Neodiprion lecontei: one gene and its partner. The protein of the gene in region 2 interacts with the protein of the main gene of each other region in a biochemical or structural test. Links are inferred from orthologs where the notes say so. Each region holds a gene or a part of one and is shown on either strand. Other genes may lie near its edges.

Region 1 (6,455 bases), on a different chromosome or scaffold from region 2:
GAACCGGGTCGAATTCGACCCTTGAAAAAACGGAGTGAGTTGATATTTTTCTTCGGATTAAGGCATGCGTGTGCCGCGTGTAAACCGTGCGTAATATCCCTGCTAATTTCGACTCTACGCAGCGCCGCGAAGAAACCGGGTAGAGAAAAAAACAAGGACATCGTCGACATCCAGCCGCTCATCTACTCCTTCAGAGTTCCGAGCAAACCGTCCCCCGGATCCGTGATGAACGGCCATCTGCCACCTTACTGGCTTTACCACGACCACGCGTTTGGCGTTATCTGGATGCTTTTTCACCCGGACAAAAAATACATCGGTAAATAAGAATCTTCGGTGGAATTATGACGGAGAAGATCCTGCGGTGCATAGTAAGATGTTATTAACCGAATTGCCGCTCGGTCCCAGGCATAGCTCAGCTCCATTGGTGTCTGAGGTTTCTACTGGACTTGAAGAACACCGAGGGCGAGTACACGGGCGACGTGAACGTCTGCATCCAGGCGGTCCAGGACGACCTTATCGAGCAGTACGCGAAACTCGGCGAAGCGTTGGAAAATGAAGAGGCGTCGAAGAGCGGCGCGAGGGAAACTTCGAGGATTTCGAAGGACGGCGAAGACGACGAGGGACCGGAAAAGGAGCACGGAAACGTGGGAAATTATCCACAGTGGGGGGGAAAGAGAGTGCGTGATAAGAAATTAAAAACTGTACAATATTCTGTCGTCATTCGCTACAGGAATCGTCATCGCCCTCCGTTCGACCGCGAGAAGATAATAATAGGAACGTCGAGTCCGGCGGTAGTTCTCCATCGGTCGAGAAGGGCGGTAATGTCAGTCTGACCTACAACGAGATGATGTCCCGAGGGCCGACTCCGTACACGGAGCAAACCCCGTTAGAGCAGATATACAGAGCCGGAGTGCCGGTGACGATCCCCGACGACGCGGTCGCCTCGACGCCCGATATCACGACACTCCTGACCCCGGACAACTCACCACCGGGTATTGTTTCAAGGGAATGAACCAGGCGTGTGTTCTAGCATGGATATACTTATATCCTGGTGAAAATAATTCTATTAATTTCCGTGAAAATATCTACGAAGTTTTACGCAAATTTCTATGCAAAAGTACAGGATTTGGGTCGATCCATAGTTTTTGAACTCGAGATATCGTAACGATTCGTACAGTTTTTCGTAGATTATTATTATTAAGAAAAACTACGAATTCACCCAAATCCTGTACCTTTGCATAGAAATTGCCGTAAAACTTCGTAGATATTTCCATAGAAATTCGTAGAATTATTTGTACCAGGGGTTTTTTCACCAGGGTTCCTGGTTTAACAGAATAACAAATTAGCTAGTTTTTCCGTAAGACTCACCTATTGAGATAAGGTGAGTTGAAAAATATACGGCAGATGCTCTAAATCCGTCTAGATCATACTCACGATAAGAGAATGAGAAGATCGGTCTTCGGAGGTAGACCCGAATTTATCTTTATTTTCAAAAAGATGATAAACTCAGCTGCCTCCTTATCGAACATTTTCAGACGTACCTTTAACCGACATGGGTACCGAGGAATTGGTCAATTTTTTGAACGTCTCTCGCATGGAGCAGGTCCAGAGGATCAAGAAAGATATAGAACGGTTACACGATTTGGAAAAGTGAGAAATTTTGATTACACGGTGGTAAATGTGGATGAATCGGATACACCGGATGCAGCATCGGAATACAAGAGTAATGATACCGACGTCGGGTTCCAGGTTCCTGGAAGGGGTTGACAAACAGGGGTTCAAAGGATTGATCAAAGGCGACCTCGCGCGTCGCCTGGACAAGTTGGACGGCGTTGACGTCATCGGGGAAGTTGAAACCATGCTCAAATGACTAAAATCGAATTACCCGTAGCGTGACAGTTACAACTGGCTTCGATGAAACTGTCAGTAAATGTCTAGTCAACGCGCATGCAGTCCGTGGAAAATTTCTGATCAATGTATTTCGTTCGAATTGTAAGCGAAACTTCAGAATCGTTGAGATGGAAATAACTACGTACCGCGGGCTTCGACATAAAAAGTCATCTCTGCACCTACAGATAGACAACCGGAGTTGCAATTTGCCATCTCACCGAGCTGATTTTTCCAGGTTTAGGTCCGGTATCACAGATATGCCGTTTTAGCTGCGAGTTGCGAAGTAAAAGACAGAATTATCGTACATTCAATACTACTGATAAATTGTAACGTATAAAACAATATAGCTGCACATCATTTGAAACGTACCGATTCTCTCGACCCACGATCACGTTCATTATCGTTACTTTTTTCTTTCATTTGATCCGATCGCTCGATAAGCTGCGTGCGCAATCTGTGTTTGATCGAGTGATTTTCATTCGCTGGCAGAATTCGCCCACCTGACTCATCTCGAAAGGCATGCAATGCATAGTTCATAATGCTATCGTAATGGGAAATGGAGGTACGCGTCAATCTCCGTGGGTAGGAAACGCGTAGTGATTGTAGAATAAAATTGTCGAGATGCCGACCAGAGCAGAGAGGCCTAATTTGCTAACGTATCAAGACGCCCAGCATAGTTGGACCGACGACTTGCCCGTTTGCAAACAGTCAGGTAGACGATTGACAATTCCAACAAGTCCTAACCTAGTCTAGCCTAACTGAAGACTACTCAAAAATAACAGAAGTCCAAAATGTTTGATGAAAAACGCTCGAATCAATTTCTAATTGAAAATGGGTGAAAATTTTGATGGCGATTCCATAGGTGTGGGGTTTTCAACGAATCAAATATATAGGGAGGATGGTGGCCGGCAGGAGGATCATCCGTTCGAAGACCGTAGTTTTCACTGTCGGTACGACGACTCGACTTTTTTATACGGAGTTTTCGATGGACACGAGGGAACGAAGGCGGCTACTTTCGCGCTTCAGCGTATGGCAGCTGAAATTCTCTTAGGACAGCTCAGTGGCAAATCGACCGACGAGGAAGTTAAAGAAGTATTAAGGTAAGTAATTTCCTATATTCTTGGAAAGGTAAATCAAACCTAGGACTAATATTGTCGTCGCTTCTTTTCTCAGGCAAGCTTTCATTACCGTGGAACGTGGATATCTAGACTCTATTGGAGATATTCTGGCAGAACGGGCTAGTCTGCAATTCGACATACCGGATGGGCTGAATTCGTATGAAACTTACCAAAAATTTCCATACTTGGTACTTGTTTTTTTGTTTTACGACATATGAAACAAACGTTGTAATAAATCTACTGTGATCGTGTGTAACAATTGTTATTTTTCTTTCTTTTTAGGTGGACAAGTTGAGTTCTTTGAACAGCGAATTGTCGGCTGGAACAAGCGCGGTGGTAGCCTTAGTTTACGGCGGACGCTTATACGTAGCAAACGTCGGAGACAGTAGAGCATTACTCTGCAGAACTGACAGCAATCAGGTCTTGAGAGTCGTGCAATTAAGTGTAGATCACGATCTGAGGAACGAGGATGAGCTGTTGAGGCTGTCTCAGCTTGGATTGGACATTGACTCTGTTAAACAAGGTCTCTATAACAATAAGTTACCGTAATAGGGCGAAATGAGTACAAAACAAGACAATTTAGAGAATCCCCACCCCCCAAATATTTTTCTTTGACACATCAGCTTGCGCTGTAACCGTAACTGTGCTTCTCTAGGTTCACACCTTGGAAACCAGGAAAACACGAGATGCCTTGGCAATTACCTAGTCAAAGGGGGATACAGGGAATTTGAGGAATTGGCATCGGCGAGCACAGAGCCAATAATAGCAGAGCCGGAGATACACGGTGGTATAGAACTCGACGATTCGTGTAGATTTTTGCTACTCATGTCGAGAGGTCTCTACAAATCGCTGGAGGAAGCGACCGGAACTGATCAGGTCAACAAAGAGTTGGCCCAAATGGCCGTCGAACAGGTACGTTTATGAACAACGGGAAGATGTTTGTTCGAGTCTGGTCAAGCGAAAGTGATTCACGAGTACTTTTTGTCTCCAGTTTAGGGTACAGTCGACATTGACGGGAGTGGCGCAGGCAGTAGTGGATAAAATAGTGAGGATACATCATGACGTCAACATGAGCAATTCCCAGAATACATTGACTACTGGAAAAAGAGACGACATAACATTGTTAGTGAGAAACTTTAACTTTCCTTTGCCCAACGTCCTAAAAAGCCCTACTATTCAGTCGGTGAGGTTTAATCCCGACGTGCAAACTGTGCCCGTACCATCGCGAATGGACAATGACTACTATTCGAGCAGCGGAACAAATACGTCCGATCAACAAAACTGTGATACATCAACGACTGAAACTTCGACCACTTCAGACATGTACCCACCGGGTGGAAAGCCTGTGAACAGAGATACTAAAATCAAACCGTACGTCGACTTTTCAGAGTATTTCAAAACTGTTGAGAAGAGACGCGAGGAGGGAACCTTGCCAGAGGGTATCAATTTTTAAGCACGACTACGAGTGTGTCGTTGTCTATTTGATTTTTTTTTCATTAGTCATTACCTAGATCTCAACTCGCCTATTGTTACGATTATTATTATTGATTCTTTGTAGGGATGCACTGTAAGATATTTGTAATATTATGACTTTGTGTTAGTAAATTAAGTTTTTCGTGATAACTGGGCCATTACTATCCCTTAATATCGTTGATCAATTTGCTGCAACAAACGGACAATGCAGTCTTGATCACATAGCATTCATTAATCACATATCGGTAAAATGTCATCTCGTTATTAAAAATGATGGAAACGATATGATAAAAAAAAATATATATATATATATTTCTTTATAAATTATTTATAAACGATTGCTATACTATTCGGAAAATTTAGATTTGAACAGTTATTTTCCCATCCCAATCATTCGTCACAATTTTCGAAATCGCTTTATTAATGTTCTAATTGAGCTGAACTGTTTGTCGCAAGGCAAAATTTTATTTTATTATGTACATTTTTTTAATACAACCATCGCCCAATCGGACAGTTAAAGAGTAGTTTGCTGGTTTGTTTTCTCCCTCACTGTAGGATCAAGATGATTTCAGGATCGAGTTTGCGACAACCGTGAGACTAAAAGGCTAAGTTCCTGTTGGTATTAGTTTATTACCCGTGTATACGATTACTATACACAGTGACATTTAAATAGTTTTTTTTCTTCTATCGTCATTATCAATCCATAGATAACTGCACCCACGTACGGCGTTAAAAGTAAAATGGTAAACGAGGTCTAGAATCTCATCGCGACTGACACGCAGTACGTTTCTGGTTTAGTCGACGATCCAATATCTCCAAGTTTCTTCCATGTAAAGATCGGAATACCTGGAGTTTTGTTTTTGATTGTAACATTCAATGTCTGGATCGGCTGCTCTCTTATTCACGACGATTAAAATCGTTAAGGAAATACATTTTGGCGCATTATAGCAGAGTTATACCAGCAAGAGTTCAGCTAGGGATAACGTGATTTGTTTTAAAAAAATATAATCACTGTTCCTTCGTATTTGCATCACGTCTGGCGTATAAACCTTACTATCTTTCAAAGGAACAAGTATCATAATTTTTAGGTATTATTTTAGGCTGTCAGAGTGTATCGGTGCGTCTGGACTTAGGGACAAGGCATGCACTTCAAACGTTCAAACGCCGACTTTTCCAAAGATTCCCGATGATCGGGATGTGCAATATTTATCAGCGCATGCGCTCTCTGTCGCAGCGTTTTACCAAACAAGCTTGCTATTCCATGTTCAGTGACAACGTAACGAACATGAGCTCTTGTAGTAACCACGCCAGCTCCTAAAACCAACAAATAAACATTAAATAGTCGTCGCAGAGTCGCGTAATTTTTTTTTTGAATTCGTCATCACGAGTTGAAAAATTTCGACAAGAATTTCTCACCTAGTTTCAGTACGGGTTGTATTTTGCTCACTCCTTTGTTCGTTACAGACGGTAATGCTATGATGGCTTTTCCCATGCCATCCTTACCCATAGCAGCTCCGCGTATGAAGTCAACTTGTCCACCAAATCCAGAATACATTCTGGTGCCTATACTGTCAGAACATACCTGCCCAGTGATGTCGACCTCGATGCACGAATTTATGGCAGTCATTTTTGGCTGCAGGGACACTATATGAGGGTCGTTGACATAATTGACCACCAACATCTCTGCCGAGAACGGAAAATTGTACAATTACTTACTACTATTTTATATTTTGCCTCTAAGACAAATTAAATAGACCGAGTGGCAACTAACCGATAAACGGATTGTTGTGCATAAAATCGTACAGCTTTTGGGTGCCAACGCAAAAGGACCCGACAATGCGTCCCTGGTGTCTGACTTTTTTATTATTTGTGATGCAGCCCGTATTGACAAGATCGACGACCCCGTCGCTGAACATCTCACTGTGAACTCCCAGGTCTTTGTGACCCTTTAAAGCGGATAGAACCGCATCAGGA
Region 2 (6,463 bases):
AAGAGATCAAAGATAAAAAATTTGTGCAGTTATTGGATTTAAAAAAACTGTTTATGATTCACAATATATTATGGTATCTGGGTATTCTAGGATTTTGGCGTTTGGTATTTAAGGTACATTTTAAATGACGCAAATTCAGTTTATCTTAATGTCAATGTGAGAAATCTAACTTTAGGTGATTTAGGAAAAGATTCTTCATTCTATAATTTAAATCGATATACACTTTTGTATCGAATTTTCTCATTATTCAATAAACAATTATTTTTTAGTGCTTTATAATTAATGTATTGATGGAATATATGGCATGGAATCAGTAGCTAATAAATAATTATTATTGTTTCGGGCAATTGTTCATAATAATTCGGCTTATCTAGTGGATATTGCGTGAGATCAAAATGTTGGAACGAAATTGTTCATGCACGAAACTTAATTACGACCGAAAAAGTGACTTCAGAGACCATTTCTGGAAAAACGTGACTCCTTTAAAAAAAGTGACTGACTACCAGCTCTGTGATATCACTCTAACTTTGAATATGAGCTAATTTCTTATTCTACTATATTATTTTCCAAGTATACCTTTGAATGTATACCTTTGTATAAATCGTACATGAGTTTTTGTTGTTACATCGAAATCAAAACGATGCATGTATCTTCAGAATAATAAGGTATCTTTTGCTGCTAACTGATTTAACTTAGGCATTTGACGAAAATTCAATGGATAAAACAAAGTGGGTCAAGTTCAGAAGCTCACTCTAGTAAATATGAAATACGATATTTGCCAAACTCATATGATTTCAAATGAAATAAATGTAGAATCGTAAAAAAATTCTGAACTTCTTACCTTGAGGAGTTTTATGTGTCTTTGGAACCATTTTGTCCAATCCCGCCATGTTACGTATCTCCCATGAAGAGTCATCGGATGTGGTTAAATCCCAAGAATTCTGAAAATGGGCATCATAAAATAAATAAGAATCAACAAATTTGACAAGTAAACCCACATATCGCGACTACTTACTGGATTACACTCTATCTGTATCGGCGAAGTATAGTCGTTTAAAACTGATGGTGATAGTCTGGTTCGTTGAGTCACAGGTATACCTCTAGGAGGTCTTTGTGGCGTGAGATCTGTTTTACCGCCAGTTTGTGAGTTGGGCTTAGAATTATTCTGAAGTCCAAGGAACTGTGTTCCAGCTTGGTTCAGCCTAGGTGTGAGGTACCCTGTGTTACATTCAGTCTGCGGTACCTGAGACTGTGACGAGCTGGTTTCTGGTTGTGTAAATTGAATGTCAGACATAACTTGATTGTCTGTTGGCGTTGGTGTCTGATTTGTACCATTGCTTACAGAACCATTGATTTGTGAGTTTAAGGTACTCGGCATATCCAATGTGTCATCAGCACCATCTTCCTCATCCATTTCACTGCCTGAAAATTACCATGAAAATGCAAAATTCTTTACTGTACAGGTTACTTGGATTTTGTATTTTGTATGAAATAGCATTTACTATAATAATGATTTGTTTTCTCTACTAAAAAACCCTCATAAGACGTAATTTTTTCATAGTGCGTTCTTATCATCTTTTTTCGTTTTTGATAATCTTAGTTTAAGAAGTGTCTATGGAGGTTTATAACATACTTAAAGAATATTCAACAGGATCCAATTGACCGTTGAAGAACTCTGAAAGAGTGGTCATAATTTGAACAACTTCATCCATTGACGGTCTCTCTTCTGGAACTTTTTTCCAACACCTAAAAGCAACAAATAAAAATGAGAGAAAGTTAATATAGAGAAAAATAGGAATTACAGATTAAATTTTGGCATAATGAGTAACAGTCGAACTCTACATCAAACACACACGTTCATGTCAAGTGGATTTATGACTGGACAGTACCATAAAGTACCATAAGATATTGAACTGTGTTCGAAGATTTTTTCTTAGTGTAAATAGGAAGATGCTGTAACAAATTAATATTTACTCACCGGGTCATAAGGTCTTCTATCGGTTTAGGACAACCATCCATCAACGGAGGCCTCTGCCCAATATGCACAGCCCACATAATTCTGTATGCAGAACCACCAATGTCGTCGAATGGCTTTCTACGAGATAAAATCTCCCACAAAATAACGCCCCAGCTAAACACGTCACATTTTTCTGTATACCGCGATCCTTCAAAGACTTCAGGCGCCATCCAAGCAGCAGAGCCTTTGTTATTGGTCATGTAAGTATTCAGATCGCAGGCTGTTCCAAAATCACAGATTTTCAGAGTCTGACCACCCAGGATGAGAAGAAGATTAGGAGGCTTCAAATCTCTGTAAAGTTTCCAATAGTCAAGGTTATAGTGTCTGATAGAATTTCAATTATGTCCATGTTTGAAAGTGAGTGGCTCTTAGAAACACAACAACATGTGCATAGCTATGTAATGATTAAATATTTGACCAACCTGTGAATTAATGGTTTTGGCTTCATGTTGTGAAGATAAGCAACCCCACGAGCACACTGGAGTGCCCAACTCATTGCATGGCCTGCTGTGTAGTAAGGTTGTGGATTACAATGCAACACTGTAACATTAACACATTATAGTTATAAAATATGTGTGTATTGTAAAGAAATTTTTTTTAAAAAAGCAGAAAAAGTATCAATTCTCAAAAGATACGTACACAGCTCGAATGTAAATGGAAGAATAAAGCAGAGAAAGTATCATTCACGTATAATTATTAGAATGATGGGACAGAGCAGCCTTAAAGTGAAATTTGAAAACTCAGTAATGTATGCTGTATTTTGCAGATCATTGGTGTTTTATATTCAGGCACTGCATTACTCCTATTTCATAGATAAGGTATCAAGTAAAACCACTACATTTGTTTAAACATACTGGGTTGTACTCAACAACCAAAATTATTTCAAGCAACTCTATTCGCAATTGATTAAATAAAGAAATACCATGATGTGATACTTCTGAAATAATACTTATCATTTACAAAGTAAATCATTTTTTAGGATGCATGGTCATTTTTTGGATATGTGTATATTTCACAAATCATTAGCTGGATGTTAGTTTGAATTAACACTAGTGTACTATAAATTTTCAATTACTTGCCATTATATAAAGAGCCACCCTCAGCATACTCCATAACTAAACAAACTGGATTTTTTGTACATGCACCATAGAGTTTAACAATATTAGGATGTGCTACTCTGGATAGCTGGCGCACTTCGACGGTGAATGCCTTCCTCTCTCCCTCAGAGTTTATGTGTTTCACCGCCACATACTGACCTCTCCATCGTCCTTTCCAGACAACTCCAAAGGAGCCTTTCCCAACAATCTGTTATCAGAAACAATTACTTTTTTACTTTACTGTATTAGTTAAAGGAAGTTGGATCGCTGACATAAAATGTCTAAACAAATCATGAGGCGCGTATCAAAGCTGATTAGATGAATTTGATTACACAGCAATGGCTGATATCTCTTTGTAAATAAATGTTTTAATTTTAACTAACGTTAGCTGATCTATAAAGCTTGTTCGTTGATATTGTATAAATCAATTCACTCTCTTTTACAAACGCGAGTTCTATGCACGTCAATAATAATGTTTACTGATGAATAACGGTGAGCAACAGCCCGAAAGTGGATGGACATATTAACAGTCAGGACTCAGTTGATTGATCGAGATAAATAATTGAGTGAAAAAAATATTCATGTATGTTTATAGAGACCAAAATGTTTTGGAGACGAAGATGTTGTGAGGTTATGTTTTCGCAATAGATTTTTATACGAGGTTCATTGATACGATATGGAATTTTACGAGTGCTATTTATTTAAGGGTAAGTTATTTGCTACAAAATGACAATTTGGTGAGGGTAAACATAATGAAAATGTGCGATTTTCTTACACAGATATCACAAGATTACCTCCTGTGTTTCAATTTCATTGTAGTTAATTTCTTCAACAAACTGTTGCTGATGGCCAGTTCCTTCCTTGCTCGCCATCACATACCGTCCGCATCACATTATTTTCAGGCCGCATTTACCCAGCTAACGCAAATTTTTCACAAATATTTATTTGAACTGGCATTCAAATTGTTTCGCCATTTGCCATTTTTCGTCTTTCTACCGACGTGTTTGCGTTGTTTTGAGACGAAGTGGGCGTTCTGTAATACAATTGGTCAAAGATATCAAACCTGCAATGGCGATCGCAGCGGCGCTGCTGAGTGGACGAGCGTGCAGCGGAAAATTTGAGAAATATCAAAAGCAGAACACTCGCGATAGTTGTCGAATATAATCAATTATTAGACAAGATTTTAAGTAAATAATATAATTCTCATATCGAAATGACTACGCCGCGTTGTTCCGAGTTTATTCTGGACTCGTAGGACATTTTTATCTCGTCTCCGGGTTCTGTACTCGCTTTATCGATTTGTTGCATGGTTCTGTCATGGAGGACCTCCTGCTGCAGATCGTCAAGGAGGCTTCGCACGCGAAATTACCAAACATACGTAAATCGGCGCAAGAGGCACATGGTGAGCTAAACATTGAACATCTTATCTTATCCATTTTTTGATTCTTCACTCACTTATTTTCTCCCACAGATTTCCTGGACAAGCAGCAAGGTCTATTGCGGGATCCCCCGCACGAACTGCGGGCGAAATGCCTCCACACCTGTCAGCTCGCTCTCGAAACAAGGAGAAGCAAATTTGTCGCCTTTGGTCTTGCTGGCCTACATGTAATGCATTCTAATGATCCCGATATTCACAGCTGTTCGCTTTATTTCGCCAGCTTTCCTTATCGCTCGTACATTGCCTCACTCTCACTGTGTAACACCCTCGTATTTGCAATAACCACATCCTGGGTGGTACAATTACTGATAGTGCTTTCACCATATGATACTCACTATGCTACACAGCTAGCACTCATTCACATTTCTGACGCTGACTGATTTTTTCTACTAATTACTGTTTCGACGATAACTGTATAAAAATATTTAAATTATATTTCGAAGTGAAACTATACTTTAACTGAAAAAAATTGTTCCAAGAATATAATTAATGTTAAAATTAGATCATTGTGCCACAAATTTTTGTTTTCAGAATTCATGATTTTTTGTAAAATACTTTGAGCAGCTTGACTAGATTTAGAAACTCATTCAGAGCTGTGTTATTTAGCAAGTTACCAATCGATATTCAGACAGTAGTTTTTGCTTACCAATTGATTGTTTTTACATGTCTCCTTGCAATTTCAGACCTGTTATGCAGTGAAAGTTGATCAATAAGAAATAGGAAACTATTTTTTTTGATTTCAGTCTCTTTCTCCTGTTATGACAGCGTTTTGAATATATTCTGCAAATTTGAAGCTCATGCCAAATGATTTTTATTGCAATGGGAGAAGCTCTAAGTTTTTTGGTCACGGTTTCGACACTGATTACACAATATATAACATATTTTTACTGACATATCAAGCACTCTGCTTATGTTTCACTTATTTGCTCATGTCGTTTTTTTAATCGACTAATATATAGTGTTAAATTTGACATTAAATGTTTCTAAGATAATTTATACTTATTCGCTTCAATGAGTTATTTTTTCAGGATTATTCGAACAAACATTTTGTTTCTAATTGAAATTGAATAGAATAATTTCTTATAGATATAAGTGGTTATATGCAATTAATGTTCATTTATGTCTTATGGCAGAAAATGCTGAGGGACGATAGATTTCAGTCTCCTTATGAGCCGGAGGATGATTCCTTGTGGCTTCCAGCTCAAATGCTCCATACTATGAGTTCCATATTATCCCAGTCAGACGATGCACAGACAGACATGCTAAAAGTAAGTTAGTTGTAAAATTGAAAACAGAAATGAAGAGCAAATACAGTCTAGGCTGTTTTTACCTGTGATTCATTTTAAACCAATCAAATCATTAATATTATTATTGATGTTATTCGTAAAATTTTTCCTAGGTGCTACTGCAAGTTGCATGTTCTTCATATTGGACAATGAATGGTCGTCTCATTATTGCTGTACTAACAACTTGTAGCGAGGCCTTTGAAAATGGAAACCAAGCAGTTAGAACTGCGGCACAGGCAGCTACCAGCCAAACTCTTCGATCCTTCTGCTTATTTCTAGGCAATATGAACAGATATTTAATTGCTTAGGATGTAGTTTAGTATACACCACAAATTTTGACTACTAAATATTTTTATTACAGATGAAGAATGTCAAGAAATGGACGAGAATGCCAAGAAGAATAAGAATATTCATGAAAGAGGGGTATCTTGTTTTAATGAGGCGATACCTATACTACAATATATCTGTAGCAAATTAGATGAAGCTCAAACGTAAGTATTGCTGAAAAAAATCAAACGAAACATTTACAGTTGAACTTCTGTAGAAAAAAAAAAATTCATTTTAATATTCTTCGAACAATGTCACCGCAGTATTAAAATGTGCACTTATTACTGCAAAGTTAAGT

What was found.
Region 1: of the proteins of mitogen-activated protein kinase kinase kinase 7 (region 2) and TGF-beta-activated kinase 1 and MAP3K7-binding protein 1, one has a biochemical effect on the other in vitro, tested with the Homo sapiens proteins (4 studies listed by BioGRID and IntAct). The link is inferred for Neodiprion lecontei from reciprocal best matches to the Homo sapiens genes MAP3K7 and TAB1.

Annotation. Positions count from the first base shown.
Region 1 is NC_060262.1:384,706-391,160, reverse strand, and holds TGF-beta-activated kinase 1 and MAP3K7-binding protein 1, read left to right. Parts: upstream 1-2,398; 5' UTR 2,399-2,511; coding exon 2,512-2,602; intron 2,603-2,752; coding exon 2,753-2,990; intron 2,991-3,063; coding exon 3,064-3,196; intron 3,197-3,290; coding exon 3,291-3,531; intron 3,532-3,663; coding exon 3,664-3,920; intron 3,921-3,999; coding exon 4,000-4,461; 3' UTR 4,462-4,764; downstream 4,765-6,455. Other genes in the region: 4-hydroxybutyrate coenzyme A transferase, read right to left, coding at 5,611-5,795, 5,898-6,164, 6,253-6,455. UniProt on the Homo sapiens protein: Key adapter protein that plays an essential role in JNK and NF-kappa-B activation and proinflammatory cytokines production in response to stimulation with TLRs and cytokines.
Region 2 is NC_060260.1:31,604,106-31,610,568, reverse strand, and holds the start of mitogen-activated protein kinase kinase kinase 7, read right to left. Parts: upstream 4,124-6,463; 5' UTR 3,987-4,123; coding exon 3,909-3,986; exon of another isoform or gene 3,890-3,908; intron 3,323-3,889; coding exon 3,097-3,322; intron 2,558-3,096; coding exon 2,440-2,557; intron 2,309-2,439; coding exon 1,979-2,308; intron 1,747-1,978; coding exon 1,634-1,746; intron 1,423-1,633; coding exon 1,016-1,422; intron 942-1,015; coding exon 842-941; intron 1-841. Other genes in the region: brefeldin A-inhibited guanine nucleotide-exchange protein 3, read left to right, coding at 4,432-4,516, 4,586-4,719, 5,686-5,820, 5,952-6,117, 6,200-6,329. UniProt on the Homo sapiens protein: Serine/threonine kinase which acts as an essential component of the MAP kinase signal transduction pathway. Plays an important role in the cascades of cellular responses evoked by changes in the environment.